3 linked regions of the Daphnia pulex genome follow. The protein of the gene in region 2 purifies or fractionates together with the protein of the main gene of each other region. This does not show direct contact. Links are inferred from orthologs where the notes say so. Each region holds a gene or a part of one and is shown on either strand. Other genes may lie near its edges.

Region 1 (3,849 bases), on a different chromosome or scaffold from region 2:
TAACCAAAGTACGCATTCATAGATAACCTTTTATTATTCTAGTTCTTCCACTGAAGCGGCAAACAAAATGATGAAACGCGCCGCTTTTGATGTTTATTTGCGAAACCCCGAAGACACTTTTCAGCTACTCTCGGTATAATTTTGTGAATTGTTATCCACAATATATAAGAAACTAAAATATTTCAAACATCAACTTATAATGGTATGGTAACAAATAGGTCGGACTTTTTACCGGTGGAATGGGTTCTTTGATGGGTTTTTCTACTGAAGGTGACGAAGAAGAACCTACAGCAGGCATGGAAGTCACACTTGCTGGTGTCCAGCTAAGACCTGTTATTTTCTTCTCGGGTCAAAGCGAGCTAATGGGCCATGTCTGGTAAGTGTATATATTTTACTATATTCCATGCTGTTTTGGCAGGTAAACAAAACTAAAAATGCAAATGGAATGCTTATTGGACCTTGAAAAGAAGAGTTTAACCTGGTCCAAATTAGTAAAATTCTAGTAACATAGAACTAATACCATTTGTCATTGCCAATGTCCAGGTCTGGCACAGCATCTGAAAGAACCACAGCCCTACAGGTAGATTACATTTTGTTTTTCAGAGTTTTAAGTATACAGAAACTAAATTCGGTATTGACATTTCTATTGACATTCATAAACAGGCTACTGTGCTGCTTCAGGATTATCGTAATGTCGTACCACTCCAAAGTGGTTTTGTTACTACACTCGACGTGCGTGGTTCTGTCTCTTTTGATTTTGGTGGCGAAATCCAAATCAGTATTTGGAACAGAAATTCTCATTCAGTTGTCGAAGATATGTAAGTCAATTTACAGACTGGATTTCTGATCATAATGATAAAACTCATATTTTCATTTCAGCGCTGCATGGGAGCTAGAGGGGTCATTAAATTTAAACACGCCGTTTGTTAAATCATCTGTTGATTTCACTGTGGGTGCTGAATCTCGGGTCGATTTCGTCAATGATGTTAGCTTTGCTAACGGAATTCTTTTATGCTTGCGTATGGGCCAAGCTGAATTCAACATAGAGTGAGTGTCACAATTATTTTTTCAGCGTCGAACTAACTTAACATCCCTGTGTTGTTTAGTTACACTGTGCAGAAGCGCGAAAGCATTCCGGGAACTAAGCACTGGATTCACAAAAAGAAGAAACGCCAAGATTTCGTCCCAGGTCGCACGTTCAAACTGAATGACCAGAATTCTGGCTTCTGCAATGAAATGTTCCCTGCAGTTGAGAGTACTGGATCATCTTATTTTTAAAAGCAATGTGTTTTTCTTTTTGTTTTTAGGTAAATATTTTAAATGACATAATTGGGGTCCAAAGATGCTCAAATGAAGCAAAGTGGTTTAAAGTAGTTTACAACTTTCATGGTTCTAATTGAATGTAAATGAACAGGGACAATGTAAAGTAATTGTCACTGAATAGATTTGAATGTGTTCCATCAAAATAAACTGCATTTTCATCCATAATGTATTGATCAAATGGTTATTATTCCAAACTTTTTACTAAGCATTGATTAACAACTTCAAGTAGATTGCTGTTTTCCAAAGCGGCTGAGACTCTTTCTTTGTCAGCTAGCTGTTTATTAACAGCTTCCTCTGAAGCATGTGAACCTGGGGAAATGTTTACTTCAACTTTGAACCTAGGTGGTAGAGACCTGAGAAGACACACTTTGATGGACAGTCCTATTAAAGTTGCCATGCTGCAATGAGGGATTGTTGGAGTGTAAAAGACTTTAACACTGCTTTTTTTGTCATCAACCTGTACATACATAAAGGAAATAGAGGTAATGATTTTGTGTGAAATCAGACATTTCATATTTTACTTCTATATTCGTGATTTGTACAACATTCAGTTCTTCAAGTGACATAGGATGCTCAGGATCATTGATATCCCTTAGCAAATCTATAATTATGGAGAGATAAGCGAATTTGTTTAATGATGTATTACGCAAGTGCGAAAGTCTTTACCGAATATTTCCCTCTCATCTATGGGATCCTCTACTGATTCATCTTCTTCTTCACTTGTTATTTCTCTTTTTGTCTTCTTCGTAAATAACTGTGGATTCACATTTTCGATCCCTTTGGAAGTCATTCTTACAATTCAACACTTTGACAAGTTTATCCGACTAATAACGAACGCAATCGCGAAACGAATAACATGCGAATAACTACAAGTAAACAGAACTAGTAACGGCATCTAGCGATACCGATAAATGTTTAGTTGTGTGCGCGGCGGCGGCTGAGTGAACTATTGCGGAATCGGCAATATTTAAAACTAAATAACTTAATAACCATAAAACATATTGGCAAACGAATTTTACTAATTTAACTATTTTTGTAAACAAATTTTAGGACAACTCTGGTAGGTACTGTATTATTTCTTTTCTTGTTTAATTCCACCACCACGTTACAATTTTCTGCACTAGACGCTCCAGTTGTGTCAAGGCATTGATCTTTAGTTGACATGTTTTTCTTTTTTGGGCATTTTCGACAGGTAAATAGAGATTAAAATTGAATCTGCAGCCGGTTTTAAATTAAAAAATCTCTTATTATATTGATTTTCTTGTTTAGGAGAAACGTTTGCTCTCGGAGGTCATTCCCAATATTGCCAATACTGGAAAGTGTGGCGAAATGTCGTGAAATTTATTCACTATTCGTCGTCTACAGTTTGTTTTAATATTTTTGGACTTACTCAAACATGCCTTTTGTTGAGCCACAAATTGGTCATCATCCCGCCGTCAAAGATGTTGATTCGGCTGGACTTGCTAATGGAAGTGGACTGAATTCAAGCACCAAAGGCCTGAGTATACCCGACAGGGTAGCACTCCTCTACTACAAACATGGCCTTCTGTGTTCTAGCTACCCCTGGTGCACAATCATAGTGGCAATTATTATTGTTCTCACTTCGTGTCATCCTTTATTGTCCTTGCCTTTTCCAGGCAATGAACCAGAGGAGATATCTTTCCCGCTTCCAGAGAAAAGAATCTCTTCTGATCTTGAATTTGGAAAAAGCTTTCAGTATCCAACCAGATGGGGAACTCAGCAACCATCTTTTTTCATACAACAAATAGTTGTACGGTCCTCTGTCAATCCATGGACGTCTGATTTGGGCATGATGGATGCTTTTCGAGGCCCATTGAGTGAAGTCTTCAAGCTGCATTCTGATGTAGTGGGTTTCCATTCACCTAGGAGTAACCTGACTCTTAGAGATGTTTGCCTTTACGTGGAGAGTGTGGCCCCTAGAGCTCGTTCGTTTCAACATCTTCTACCCGAATTCAGCTGCATCATTTTGTCGCCGGCCAATTTGTGGAAGCTGGACGAAAATACCTTCCGCAACGACGCTCAGTTCTTAGACACCATATTTTCTTTCAAGAACCCAGTGGTAGAAGTGCGATCAAGTATGGCCGACATACTTTACGGCGTCCCGCTCAAAAATAGTGGATTGAAAAAATTCCCAGTCAAGACTCGTTCTCGCGTCCTTACGTACGCTATCACAATCTTACTTAAAACTCATTCTGAACCGTTTCTTTATGACTTGCGGTTAAAGCTCCGCAATCAATTTCCTCTCCACTCCACCACTCAAGAATCCACATCATCTCGACGCACCATCGTTCACATTTACTATCCCGAACGTTTCAATTATTTGGAGCTCATCCCGCTGACTTTTGTCTACTTAATCCTGTTCCTGTACATTTACTTCTCTGTTCGCAAGATCGAAATGGTTAAATCCAAGTTTGGCATGGCTTTCAGCGCCGTAGTGACAGTGGTAGCATCGCTGGGCATGTCGGTCGGCCTGTGCACGTGGTTCGGATTGCGCTTCACTCTTCA
Region 2 (5,306 bases):
ACCACCACTACCATCACCGAGAAAAAGCTGGCAAAGATAAAAACACCCACAAATTGGACGGACAGACCAACTGGACAAAACGACAGGGAGGCAGAACAACACATAAAAAGTGGGCGATGGAAAAAGAGAAAAAAGTCAAAGAAAAATTTGAAACCCGCCTGCCCCAGCCTGTCTATCGTACAGAATGAAACACATAGAAGGAAAACGAGTGTTGAATTTCGCTTCTATATAGTAAACGGCCCCACCAGCACAACACCACATGTGCGTTCGTTTCCCCTCCAAAACTCCCCTGCAACCAACCCACCCACCCACTCAATAACATTAGGGAGGTAGACCGGGGGGAGGGGGAGTTCATATCTGGAGCAGTAGAGGGAACACAGGCAGCACAGAGAATATTCCGATAACAGCCACACACACATACTGCACACGACCAACTCGAGTCAAAATAAAACGAACAAAACCTTTTTTTTTTTAAATCCAAAGATCCCGAAAACAATTTCCCGCAATGAAAAGAAAAACACACGAAACAAATGTTGGGTTCAATAAAATAAAATGTGAGACTTACACGGTGAATTGTGTGATGGAGTTGAAAGATCCACGGAGATGTGAACGTGCGGCTGACGCGGGCGACGGCGATGAACGACGACGACGGCCGCCATGAAATGAACGGCGTCTGCGCGGATTACACCTCCTCCTCTCCCTCCTCCCCCCTTCTCCACTTGAAAAAGAAAAACGGGGGAGCAGAATGCGACGCTTATGCGCATGAGCTTCCCTTCGTTACGCGCAGCAAGAAATTCAAAACAAAAAAATGTGTATAAAAATAGGACCCACCAAATATTCCGGACGACTTTTTTCTTTTCTTTTTCTCCTCCAATATCTTCTTCTAGCGGGTGGGTGAGGCCTTATCGCAACTGCAGTTCACTGCGATTATCTCTAACGGTATAAAGGACAAAAACAAAGTGGTCATTTCGACCATTGACCAAAGAGTAACACAGAGCAAATGAGGATGTGCCCGTGTATACTGTAAACGTCAAACACAGGCACGGCAGAAAAAGAAAGAGATAAGATTAAAGACTTTTGACACACTAAGTTGAGTTCATTTTGTTTCTTGTTGACCAGAAAGCAAAATTTAAAAAGAAAACATCCAAAGGGCAAAGAACCCTCCAGTGGCAAGGTCAGAAAGAGACTTAAACGCCACACAATTGCTGTACAAATAATAATAAGAATTTTGTATGAACCAGCAACGGAAAATGAGGAAATGGTGAAATTGCCGGTTGTTTCTTTATCGGCGTCCACGCCAGTAAAAAATCCAGGCCAATCTAAGACCAACGACGGCCGAAATGCCCAGAATAGGCCACAGTCTCCCACTCAAACTGCTGGATGCTACTGCACCAGGATTGCTACTGGTGTTGGAAGCTGCTAGTCCGGATATCTGGCCCTTTTCAAGGGCTTCTGGGACGTCTGGACGTTTAGGACTAGTCAGAGGTTCGCTCATTAACGAAAACTTGCTGGCAGAAGTTATGAGAACCTCTACCATTTTGCCCATGTAGTTTGGCTCCATCGGGACTAGCACCTTGATCCACGAATGAGTAAAATAATCAGTCATCGATAAGAAGAATGAGTTGGCATTTGTTTACCTGAACGTATTCCTTGTTGTGCCCAACGTAATAATTCTTATCGTGAGAGATGTCCGTAACCAGAACGGACTGCCGTTGACCAACTTGATTATCATATGGTTGATATGACTTGAATAATTCGCTAAGTCGTTTCGTTCGATTTTTCACCTGAACAATCATCAAATAAATAACATGATCTGTTAGTTGCATGACAAATTTAACTGCATGAGTAATTGCAAACCTGTTTAGTTGGAACGCGTTCCATGCGATAGGCGGGAGTGCCTACACGCGGGAAGAATTGATTAATGAATAAACTAGGGAAACGATGTTTGGAACAAAGTTCCATCGTCAAATCAAAATCTTGTTCCGTTTCGGTAGGGAATCCACAAATTATGTCGGTGGCGATTGAAATGCCTGGAACACTGTCGTAAAGAATTGTTTACATAAAGTTCGTTCATTCAAATCTAATAATTCAAATTTCAAAATGTTACCGCTCTCGAAGAAAATTTACGACCCTCTCAAAATCAGCTACGCAGTATTCTCGTTTCATGTCAGTGAGGACTGCATCACTGCCGGATTGAACGGGCAAGTGGAGGAAAGCGTAAACTCGGGGGTGGTTTAGAATTTCAGCGATCGCCTGCGCAACCAAATCATTAAAACTGCGCAAAGTATTTCAGGAAATTTAACGAGATTTACCTCAAGATGTTCAAGGATGTAAGGAGGATTGGTCATGCCTAACCGAAGCATGCATCCATCCGGAATAACTTGAACGAGTTGCCTCAAGAGTTCCGGCAATGAACTCCCAATGTCTCTTCCATAGGCGCCCGTGTCTTCGGATGTCAACCAAATCTCGCAAACACCTTCCTGGAAAGACTGGATAGCTCGGGCTACAATTTCTTCTGGTGGATAACTCCCCAATTCTCCGCGTGCGTGTTTGGTTTTACAATATGTGCACTGATTCAGACAGCCTGTGTTGATTGGGATGATTTCTATCAAAGGATTCTTTCGAATTTTTGGCAACAGCAACGAAGCTCCTCCAGTTTTTTTCTTCTCTGCGTCCTTTTTCGTGCCCAAAAGACGAACGGAATGGCCTAAGAATGGATTTACAATACAATTAGAATTACTGTTGCAAAGTGATTTCAAATGAACAAAACCTTTTAAAGTTTCCTCTACTACTTCAACTACTCTGTCTATTTGCTGAACCCCAATGATACTTAATCCTTGCAAGTAATTTGCTTTAGGTTGTCCCTGTGGAACTAAAAAACAATATCTTGATAAAGAGACCAAATAAAATTATGAGAATGACATAGCATACCACATCCAGCCACAACAACTGGAGTGCCTCTGGCTCTCCCATCATCAATTTCATTTTTGAAGTGGTCCTCTGCAGGTGTTTTAACAGTGCACGAATTGAGAAGCCACAAATCTGCCTCATATTTTTCATCTAAAAATTCAATGTTTATTATTTAGCATAAAACGATTTTTTTTTTACAATGTTATTTACCGGTTAATGAATATCCGTAAGCAGCCAGCTGTCCTGCCATGTACTCAGAATCAGAATTATTGTGAGCGCAGCCTGGACAGAAACCGAGGGAAATAAGTTAATAGGTTGTTTCACGAAATGATCAGTTCACTCACCCCATGTTTTAACCCAAATTTTTTGGGTGCCAGGAATAATGCTGCCATTCTCCTCCACTTTGGGGATAACTTTATTGGACTTGGCAGGATCTTTGTTGTTGGGAGTTTTTTTCACTCGTTTCCCAACAGCATTAGATCTTGCTACAGATCTTTCTAATGCAGTTAAATCTCCTTCTCCTACAATGTCTTCGATATCGTCCAAAACATCATCGGCTGACATGTTCGATGTTGAAAGGCTACACTGGATTGCAAAAGACCTCAAAGTAAAAACTAAAACCAAATGGATAAAGCTCTCTATTGCATGAAAATCAGATTTGAGTATAGCTTGCACACAAGTTTAACAAATTACTTTATACCTATAAGTGCTACAACTTAAAACAAAATTAATGCAAAATCTTTTGAATTAACAGATTTCGCTTCTGTTATTCGTTCCAAATTCTAAACGTGTAATTTTGAGCAGACGACCACGTGAGCTCATACTACTTCACGACAGAGAAATAAAGCCTCTTCTAGTCCCATTCGAAATCCTGTTTCATCTTTTTTAATTCTTAATTCTTTTTCTTATAAATCAATCAGAAATTCAGAAAGAAGTTTTTTTTACCGAGAATCAGTCTCACGCTTTCAAATGTTCATGGTTGTTTCCAACTGGGTTTCAAAACAATAGTAATTGAAAACAAGATCGTTTAGTTGCTTTTTGTATTGTGAATTTGCGACTTTTTGTATTCTAGAATCTACCCGAAATTTTGAATCGAGATGAGATGTTCTAGTAGACTGAAGAAAGAAGGGGAAAGATAGAGAGAAAAGTCCACCCAAAAACTTATTTTTAATGAGAGTTTAGTTGCATGTAAAAAAAGGGATAGGGAATATTAAAGTACTAATTTTAAATTTTTGAGTATCACCAAGACGCAGTTTAAAGGCGTGGCGGATGGAAAGGCAATCATACAAAACAATTACAATTTCAAAAAATAAACAACTCAAAAATAGAACAAAAAGAATTGACAAAAATTTTCAAAACGACCAAATTTTCTAACATTTGTCGAATGCCAATAATTCACTTCTAATAATTCACACTAAATATTATTTCCCTGAAATCCGAGATCCTTGATACATTTTGATTGTCGTTTTATTTCTTCTACTAAAATCTTTTTATTAATTTTCTATTGGCATTGTTTATTTACGCACTTCTTTATTTAAAGGTAATCATGTTGTTTGTATTCAGGTTGCTGGAATCCAAAACTTCTTGCTTGATCCACTCATTGGGAAATTCAGGATCATCCGATTTCATTTCGACTTCACTTCCCGTTCCCAACTTGGAACCCAAATTTTCTCGGTTGGTGGTGGAAATATGTTGCCAATCTTGACTTCGACGTTGATCTTTCGTGGGCGTACGTTCGTTCGTGAGACTCAAAAAAGCTGCTTCCTTGGCCAGTCGATAATCGTCAGGATTCTGATCTGCGGCATTGGGTTTACTACCACTGTTGTAGTAATGATGGTGATGATGGTGATGTTGCTGGATTGAAGGTTGAGGTGATGTTTGTTGTACTGCTGCAAGTGGTAATAGAGGTGACTGTCGTGCGACGGCGGAAGGCGAAGGCGTCAGAAGACGTCGATTCGAAAAAATTATGTTCCTATTGGGAAGTCCATCGGAAGACATGAAGTGGAATTCAGTTTTCTTCATTTCTGGTGAATCGATAACTGATTCTTCCATTATTGGATGAATACTCAAATTTAACGGTTCGTTGGTTAGAAGATTGTGCTGTTGTTGCTGCTGTTGTTGCCGATTGTGTTGTTCTTCTTGTTGTTGCGACGCTGCAGAAGGTTGCGAGAGACCATCTCGCGGCTGTTGTTGCTGAAGTCGGATAACGGATGAAGCGTGAATGCCGTCCAGAGGAGATTCCGGTCGATGAGGTTCGTACGGTTGTAAACAGGCGAAGCATTGAGTGGCTCCGGTTTTGGCATCAATTAATCGGGCGCAGTCGTAGGATCGATAGCGATAATCCGGCAAAGTGAAATAATTCTGCCCGGCCAATCCTTGCTCCAAGGCCTCCTTCG
Region 3 (5,450 bases), on a different chromosome or scaffold from region 2:
GGACGTCCTGGAGATTATGATAAAAATGTAAGTATAAAATTTACAAGCGTGAAGGAACAAAGGTAGATCTTACCATGTTAATGCCGTCTTTGGCAAGGGTGAGTAATCTGGGCACGAGACTGCTGATGTACTCTTCGATGGCACTGACATTGTCGGACATGAGACCCATGAACGCGTTGATGGTAGAAATAATTAGCTGAGCTGGTTGGTCTGTGCTCAGACACTGGATCAGCAGTGGGATGAGTGTGGTTATGTGGGCAATTAAAACACCCTCCGGAATGAAGGCTAGTTGATTGGCGATGGCGGCGAAGCAAGCTGCTTTGTTGCACGACTCGGACTCTCGATACAGTTTCAACAAGCGAGGTACAACTTCTTGAAAAAACCTCTGTCGGTACATTAACCTAAGAATTTAATCAATAAGGAAATGTTCGTACAACTAAATGGAAAACGTTAAAAAACCTGATGTTGGCATGACAATTGAAATTCAGGCATTCCTCGGTTTCACACAAAATCGTTTTAAATCCTTCTGCCACTAGGTACCCGTGCGTGGGATCGTTCAACGAATCAACTAACTGCAAAGAAAAAGGTAATTCGTTAATACAGGTCATGGCGCATGCTGTTACGTCTGTAATCCAATCGCATACTTCTTGGATATACTGATTAAGCTTGGAATAAGATCTCATCAGCAGAGCTTTAGTTATCCAAACAAACAGGCAAACAGAATTGCATCGGTCTGTAGATGGATCCTGCCATTTGCGCCGCAACGAATCGAGTATAGCTTCCAGTTCATGCCCTTAAACATAGCAGGTAATGGTTAACGTTGATGGTTTTGACTTTATAATAGATCCTATAAATTTTACCTTCAGGAAGTTTGTTGACCAGAGCGGCTATTAGCCGACAGGCAGACAGTCTGACGTCGGCTTTTGGATGACAAACAGTAATGGGTTCTAGTGTGTTAACTAGTCGTTCAAGACTGTGTCCGCTAGGTGTGGCATCCAATGATCCCAATGTCGCTTCCATTATGGACAACGTCCACGGAGAACGAGCAAGATGTTGACCTACGTATTGTTCGGTTTGTTCGTTGATGAATTCCGTGGCTTTCCTGTACAATGCCGAGAAGATTACAAAAACATTTCTTCCAACATTTTGATCTAATAGAATTACGCGGAAGATAAACTGGAAGCCAGATTTCTCAATAAAACACAAGTGGCTTGGAGTGACGCCGGAGGATCTCCATCTTCCAATGTTTTCAATCCCCAGCGGTGCAATTGCTGGAATATTTCTAGTTCGTCCCTTTGTGCGAAATGAGTCAAAACTTTGAGTACTTCAAGTCGTAATTCCAGTTCGGGTTGTTCGAGCACGGTCATTAGTCGGGATACCACCTGCGCACGAATCTGGGACAACGTCGGTAGAGTTGATAACACAAGAAAAACCGCATTGGCTTTGCCTAAACAACCAACAGATAACCTCTTTCCGTATTTTAATTGGTAAAATTCAAATTACCTGAGACGGCTATATCTAACAGCTTAACCAAGACTTGCTCAAGGAACAAGTTTTCATTCTTCTCTGCGCTTTTGCAAAAGAAATGACCAATCTCTGCAATAACGCTATCGGTGGCTGTTGATTTCTGGAGTAAATCTAAAAGTGTTCCATTGACCTTTTCCAAGTCTTGGTGGTTCAAACAGGTGCCAATTAAATGGCTCAATCCTTGCAGACTTAGATTGCGAAGAACTGCGTCATCCTCTTGTAAGACCTCAAGGTACAGCTCTAACAATTTTGGTATCAGAGAAGCTACACCACTTTGAGCAACTGTAAAATATAACCAAAGATATGAAAATGTTTCTAATTTTAATAATTTTTAAAATGTGGTACCGTTTGCTTCAGTGAAACCATAGAGACCAGCATGTACCATTTTGTTCAAACTATTAAGGATGAACTGACGTGGATTTGACTGTGGCCTGATCCTGTACTGGTCCATCAAAAGGGGAATGACCTATTTAGAGAAATGGGTTTCTGTTAAGTAGATTTTAAAAAAAATGTTTGTAGTTCTATAAGAGAATAAGAATAATACCTGGCTAACAATTAATGCACACGCGGGCGCACTTCCCGAGCATATCGCTAGCAAAATGTAGCTGCTCGGAGTCATTAATCGCCGTTCCGGTTCACACAAGTGCCCCTGACATTCTATTAATATACAATCTACAGTTAAATATACTCTTAAACGAATATTTGCTACACATTTACCGGTCAGCACATTTTTTAGTAATTTGGTAAAAGCTGGACTGTTAAATTCTCCGTCTGTTGTAAAAGCTCGGGATAAAGCGGCAAGAGCATCAAGTGAGGCATGTTCAAGATCGTCGGTATTGACATTGATCAAGACTTCTCTACGTATACTCGTCCAGAAAGAGTCCACCCATTTTTCAAGTTGGCCTGGTTGATACGTCTGACAGCAGAGTTCCTGCAAACAGTCGAAAATTACAATAGAATTGAAGCATAAAGACTAAATATAGAAGGGGAAAATTACCAAGGTTTTTAAGGCTTCTACTTTAGCTGAAACCAAGTCAGATTCCAATTTCTCTTGCAGTAACGGCAAACAATACTCTGCGAAATGAGGGCTACCGGCAAGGCACTGTCGTAATCCATCACAGAGCTGTTCTTTAGTTACTGCATAAGGATCATTAGCTGGCTATTCAAAATAAGAGTATTAGGATTTACTGACATGTAGCAATAAACTGAAAATTTCAAGAGACTTACAGGGGTGAAATCGATAGGGAAGTAGCAACTAAAAACTTCGAAAAACTCTTCTGTAAACGGCTCGAATCTGAAGTAACGAGCAACTACAGGGAAAACACTGAAGAGAATCAACAAGTTACGTGGGTCTCTTTCTTGATCAGCTAACTGGATGAGACCAAAAACAAAATCTTGGCCTAGGTCTTGTAATTCTGTAAGTTTAAAAATAAAATTTAGAAAATACTAACACAGCATATATATTTAGAAATTTATAATTTAGACCTTTTAGATGAAAAGCCAAGAGGTTTTTCACTGTTTTGTAAATTGCTCTTCTGTCATGCTGCAATTGTGATTGACAATGAACATCTTGAAAAATGCTCTGGGATATCAATCTGGCCAATCCAGGGGAAAGCTTAGGTGCTGTGCTCTATGACAAGGTATTAAATTTAACACTTTTGTATTGAATAGTATTTTTTTTCATACCAAAGCATGGAGGCCTTGCAGTGCGGCAGGTAGTATTGAATGATGATCTTTTAGCTTGCTACAGAAGAACTCTGTTACAAGTTCTACTTCCTTTTCATTTAGTCCCTTCAATTCAGGCCCCAACTGTTCCAAGATTGTGCCAATAGTTGACACTGCTTTGCATCGGTGAGTATTTTGTTGATTCAGTAAATCTGGTTGCAAATCTTCAACTAGCTTGAGAATTGTTAATTCTTTTGATGCAATTGCTGAAAAATTAAACAAAGTCATTGATGTTAACTTGTTAAAATTATTAAACATTTTCTACACATATGTTTTAAATCTGGCGCGCTCATGATGGACACGTGTTTTTCCTTCTTTTTTTCTAATTTCGAACACTTGAGCGGAGTACGAAAAAATGTTTCTTTCAGTTATAATTATAAAAACTTACATTGACTAATACAGCGAATAGATTCATTCGCGGATTCTTCTGAATTAAACGAATCTCTGAGTTTGTGAATCGCAGTCGAGATCGCCATGTTTACTGTTTACCTCTGCCCTGATTATGTAAACGTCATCTGCTTTTAAATGACACATGGTTGCCTACCTCTCACATTCTTCTTTTCATGAACTGATTATTCATCGAATATATAATTTTGTCACAGATTATGTAATTGTAAACAAGCAACAGACTTTTGTAACAAATTTCGTAATTAAATATTGAATAACCGCATTCCAACATGTTTTGAAATAGCTTCCGTGAACGGAGGAAAATATCACCCAGGTTTTGTATTTTCTAGATTTTTCATTACGCATTGGAAAAAAAACAGATGGGTGGAGACTTCCAAAGTAAACTTTTATGTGATTCCGATAAATCGTGCTGGTAAGCATGGGAGGACTAGAAAAAGATAATTAATCGCGTCAAGGTCGCACGCGCAACGCATAGAACCAATAGACAGACGTATTTTTGAAGTCAGTTGTAGCCTGAACGTCCCATTATAAACGAGAGTCCCAAAACGTCTGTCGTAGCAGTCTTTTAGTAGACTACGTTACGCGAATTCCACTCACGCACAACAACTCAAATCGGCATTTCTCTTGTCAACCTTGAAATCTCTCTCTTCCACCACTTCCTTTAACGTGGTCCCGACATCTGTTGCCTTGGTGTTCGACAACGACAGCAACTTCTTGAACTGGAGCTCCCACCAACAATATTACAATGGGGCTCGAAAATTTAATTCTTTTGCTAGTACTTAGTATAATTTTTATGCCTGTTATCCTGGTAATTGGTTGCTTGGTGCTAGTGATGACATGCAACTGGTCAAGGAATTTCCGATCAGGATATGTTAAACTACTATTGAAGGTCTTTCAGGTAATATGTCTTATTCTTAGTATTTGAGTTTTCGTAATGCTCATAATCTTTTTTATACTAGTATGGAACTGGTAGGATAGAAATTGCTGAGCAGCAAAAGAAACTAGAGACCAATAAAGGAAAGAATGGCTATGCAAATGGAAATGTTGTGGAAGCAGTGGAACAAGCTGAGGACAAATTATCAACTGGACATGCCATTATAAAATCTTCAGCAATGTCCAAGGAAGATCTAGTACTTTTACCTAATGGAAACTCATCTCCAAAGACACCCTCCATCCCCAAAAACAGATCATTTAACAGTTTGAATAATGATTTTATTCTATCTGACTGCCTTGACTTTGTTCATGCGGGGGTGGAAGCAATCATTGAGGACGAAGTTACAGGAAGATTTGTAGCTGAAGAACTAAAGGTACTCAAATCTCACCTACCAATTTGGTTCACAGTATCTAACATTAAATTTGTACTTCCCAGTCTTGGAATCTTCTTACTCGCACAAACCGCCACTATGAGTTCATCAGTGTTCGCCTTACTATTACTTGGATTTTGGGTTTCTTTGTACGCTACTTCATTCTTCTACCAAGCAGAGTTACAATTTGCTTTTTAGCTGTAAGTATACTTCAAAATGTGTTCTTTGTCAATTATTTTGTTAGTATTATTTTAACTATATTATTGCAATTGTAATGAAATTATTCATTTGTCTTTGATTGATGTGATTTTCTATAGGTTATTTGGTTAACTTTGTGCACAGGACTGGTTGGCTTCCTAAATGAAGGTCCCATGAAAAGAGCCATTTATGAGAAGGTATAAACTCCAAATTCTCTTTTTACCCCGTTCAGTTATCGAATTTGACCTCGTGTAGATAACTGTAGAACTCCCGATGGTTCGAATAGGA

The links. The genes of interacting proteins can lie anywhere in the genome.
Region 1: the proteins of threonylcarbamoyladenosine tRNA methylthiotransferase-like (region 2) and cytosolic iron-sulfur assembly component 2B-like purify together in Homo sapiens (affinity purification with mass spectrometry; 3 studies listed by BioGRID and IntAct, with this or other methods). This does not show direct contact. The link is inferred for Daphnia pulex from reciprocal best matches to the Homo sapiens genes CDKAL1 and CIAO2B.
Region 3: the proteins of threonylcarbamoyladenosine tRNA methylthiotransferase-like (region 2) and MMS19 nucleotide excision repair protein homolog purify together in Homo sapiens (affinity purification with mass spectrometry; 4 studies listed by BioGRID and IntAct, counting the BioPlex papers as one, with this or other methods). This does not show direct contact. The link is inferred for Daphnia pulex from reciprocal best matches to the Homo sapiens genes CDKAL1 and MMS19.

What each region holds. Positions count from the first base shown.
Region 1 is NC_060019.1:10,899,961-10,903,809, reverse strand, and holds cytosolic iron-sulfur assembly component 2B-like, read right to left. Parts: upstream 2,236-3,849; 5' UTR 2,114-2,235; coding exon 1,990-2,113; intron 1,925-1,989; coding exon 1,845-1,924; intron 1,781-1,844; coding exon 1,508-1,780; 3' UTR 1,472-1,507; downstream 1-1,471. Other genes in the region: microsomal triglyceride transfer protein large subunit-like, read left to right, coding at 43-133, 219-376, 544-580, 664-818, 880-1,047, 1,107-1,278; sterol regulatory element-binding protein cleavage-activating protein-like, read left to right, coding at 2,720-3,849.
Region 2 is NC_060018.1:3,960,127-3,965,432, reverse strand, and holds threonylcarbamoyladenosine tRNA methylthiotransferase-like, read right to left. Parts: upstream 3,738-5,306; 5' UTR 3,611-3,737; exon of another isoform or gene 3,525-3,610; 5' UTR 3,475-3,524; coding exon 3,255-3,474; intron 3,193-3,254; coding exon 3,121-3,192; intron 3,061-3,120; coding exon 2,932-3,060; intron 2,873-2,931; coding exon 2,771-2,872; intron 2,708-2,770; coding exon 2,313-2,707; intron 2,254-2,312; coding exon 2,108-2,253; intron 2,039-2,107; coding exon 1,858-2,038; intron 1,785-1,857; coding exon 1,638-1,784; intron 1,574-1,637; coding exon 1,283-1,573; 3' UTR 1,002-1,282; downstream 1-1,001. Other genes in the region: uncharacterized protein LOC124188531, read right to left, coding at 4,441-5,306. UniProt on the Homo sapiens protein: Catalyzes the methylthiolation of N6-threonylcarbamoyladenosine (t(6)A), leading to the formation of 2-methylthio-N6-threonylcarbamoyladenosine (ms(2)t(6)A) at position 37 in tRNAs that read codons beginning with adenine.
Region 3 is NC_060026.1:4,198,028-4,203,477, reverse strand, and holds the start of MMS19 nucleotide excision repair protein homolog, read right to left. Parts: upstream 3,772-5,450; 5' UTR 3,729-3,771; coding exon 3,641-3,728; intron 3,459-3,640; coding exon 3,214-3,458; intron 3,158-3,213; coding exon 3,013-3,157; intron 2,943-3,012; coding exon 2,755-2,942; intron 2,687-2,754; coding exon 2,525-2,686; intron 2,459-2,524; coding exon 2,245-2,458; intron 2,185-2,244; coding exon 2,072-2,184; intron 1,994-2,071; coding exon 1,873-1,993; intron 1,810-1,872; coding exon 1,504-1,809; intron 1,448-1,503; coding exon 1,165-1,447; intron 1,103-1,164; coding exon 861-1,102; intron 794-860; coding exon 645-793; intron 573-644; coding exon 460-572; intron 402-459; coding exon 74-401; intron 8-73; coding exon 1-7. Other genes in the region: glycerol-3-phosphate acyltransferase 3-like, read left to right, coding at 4,406-4,558, 4,620-4,967, 5,030-5,164, 5,282-5,359. UniProt on the Homo sapiens protein: Key component of the cytosolic iron-sulfur protein assembly (CIA) complex, a multiprotein complex that mediates the incorporation of iron-sulfur cluster into apoproteins specifically involved in DNA metabolism and genomic integrity.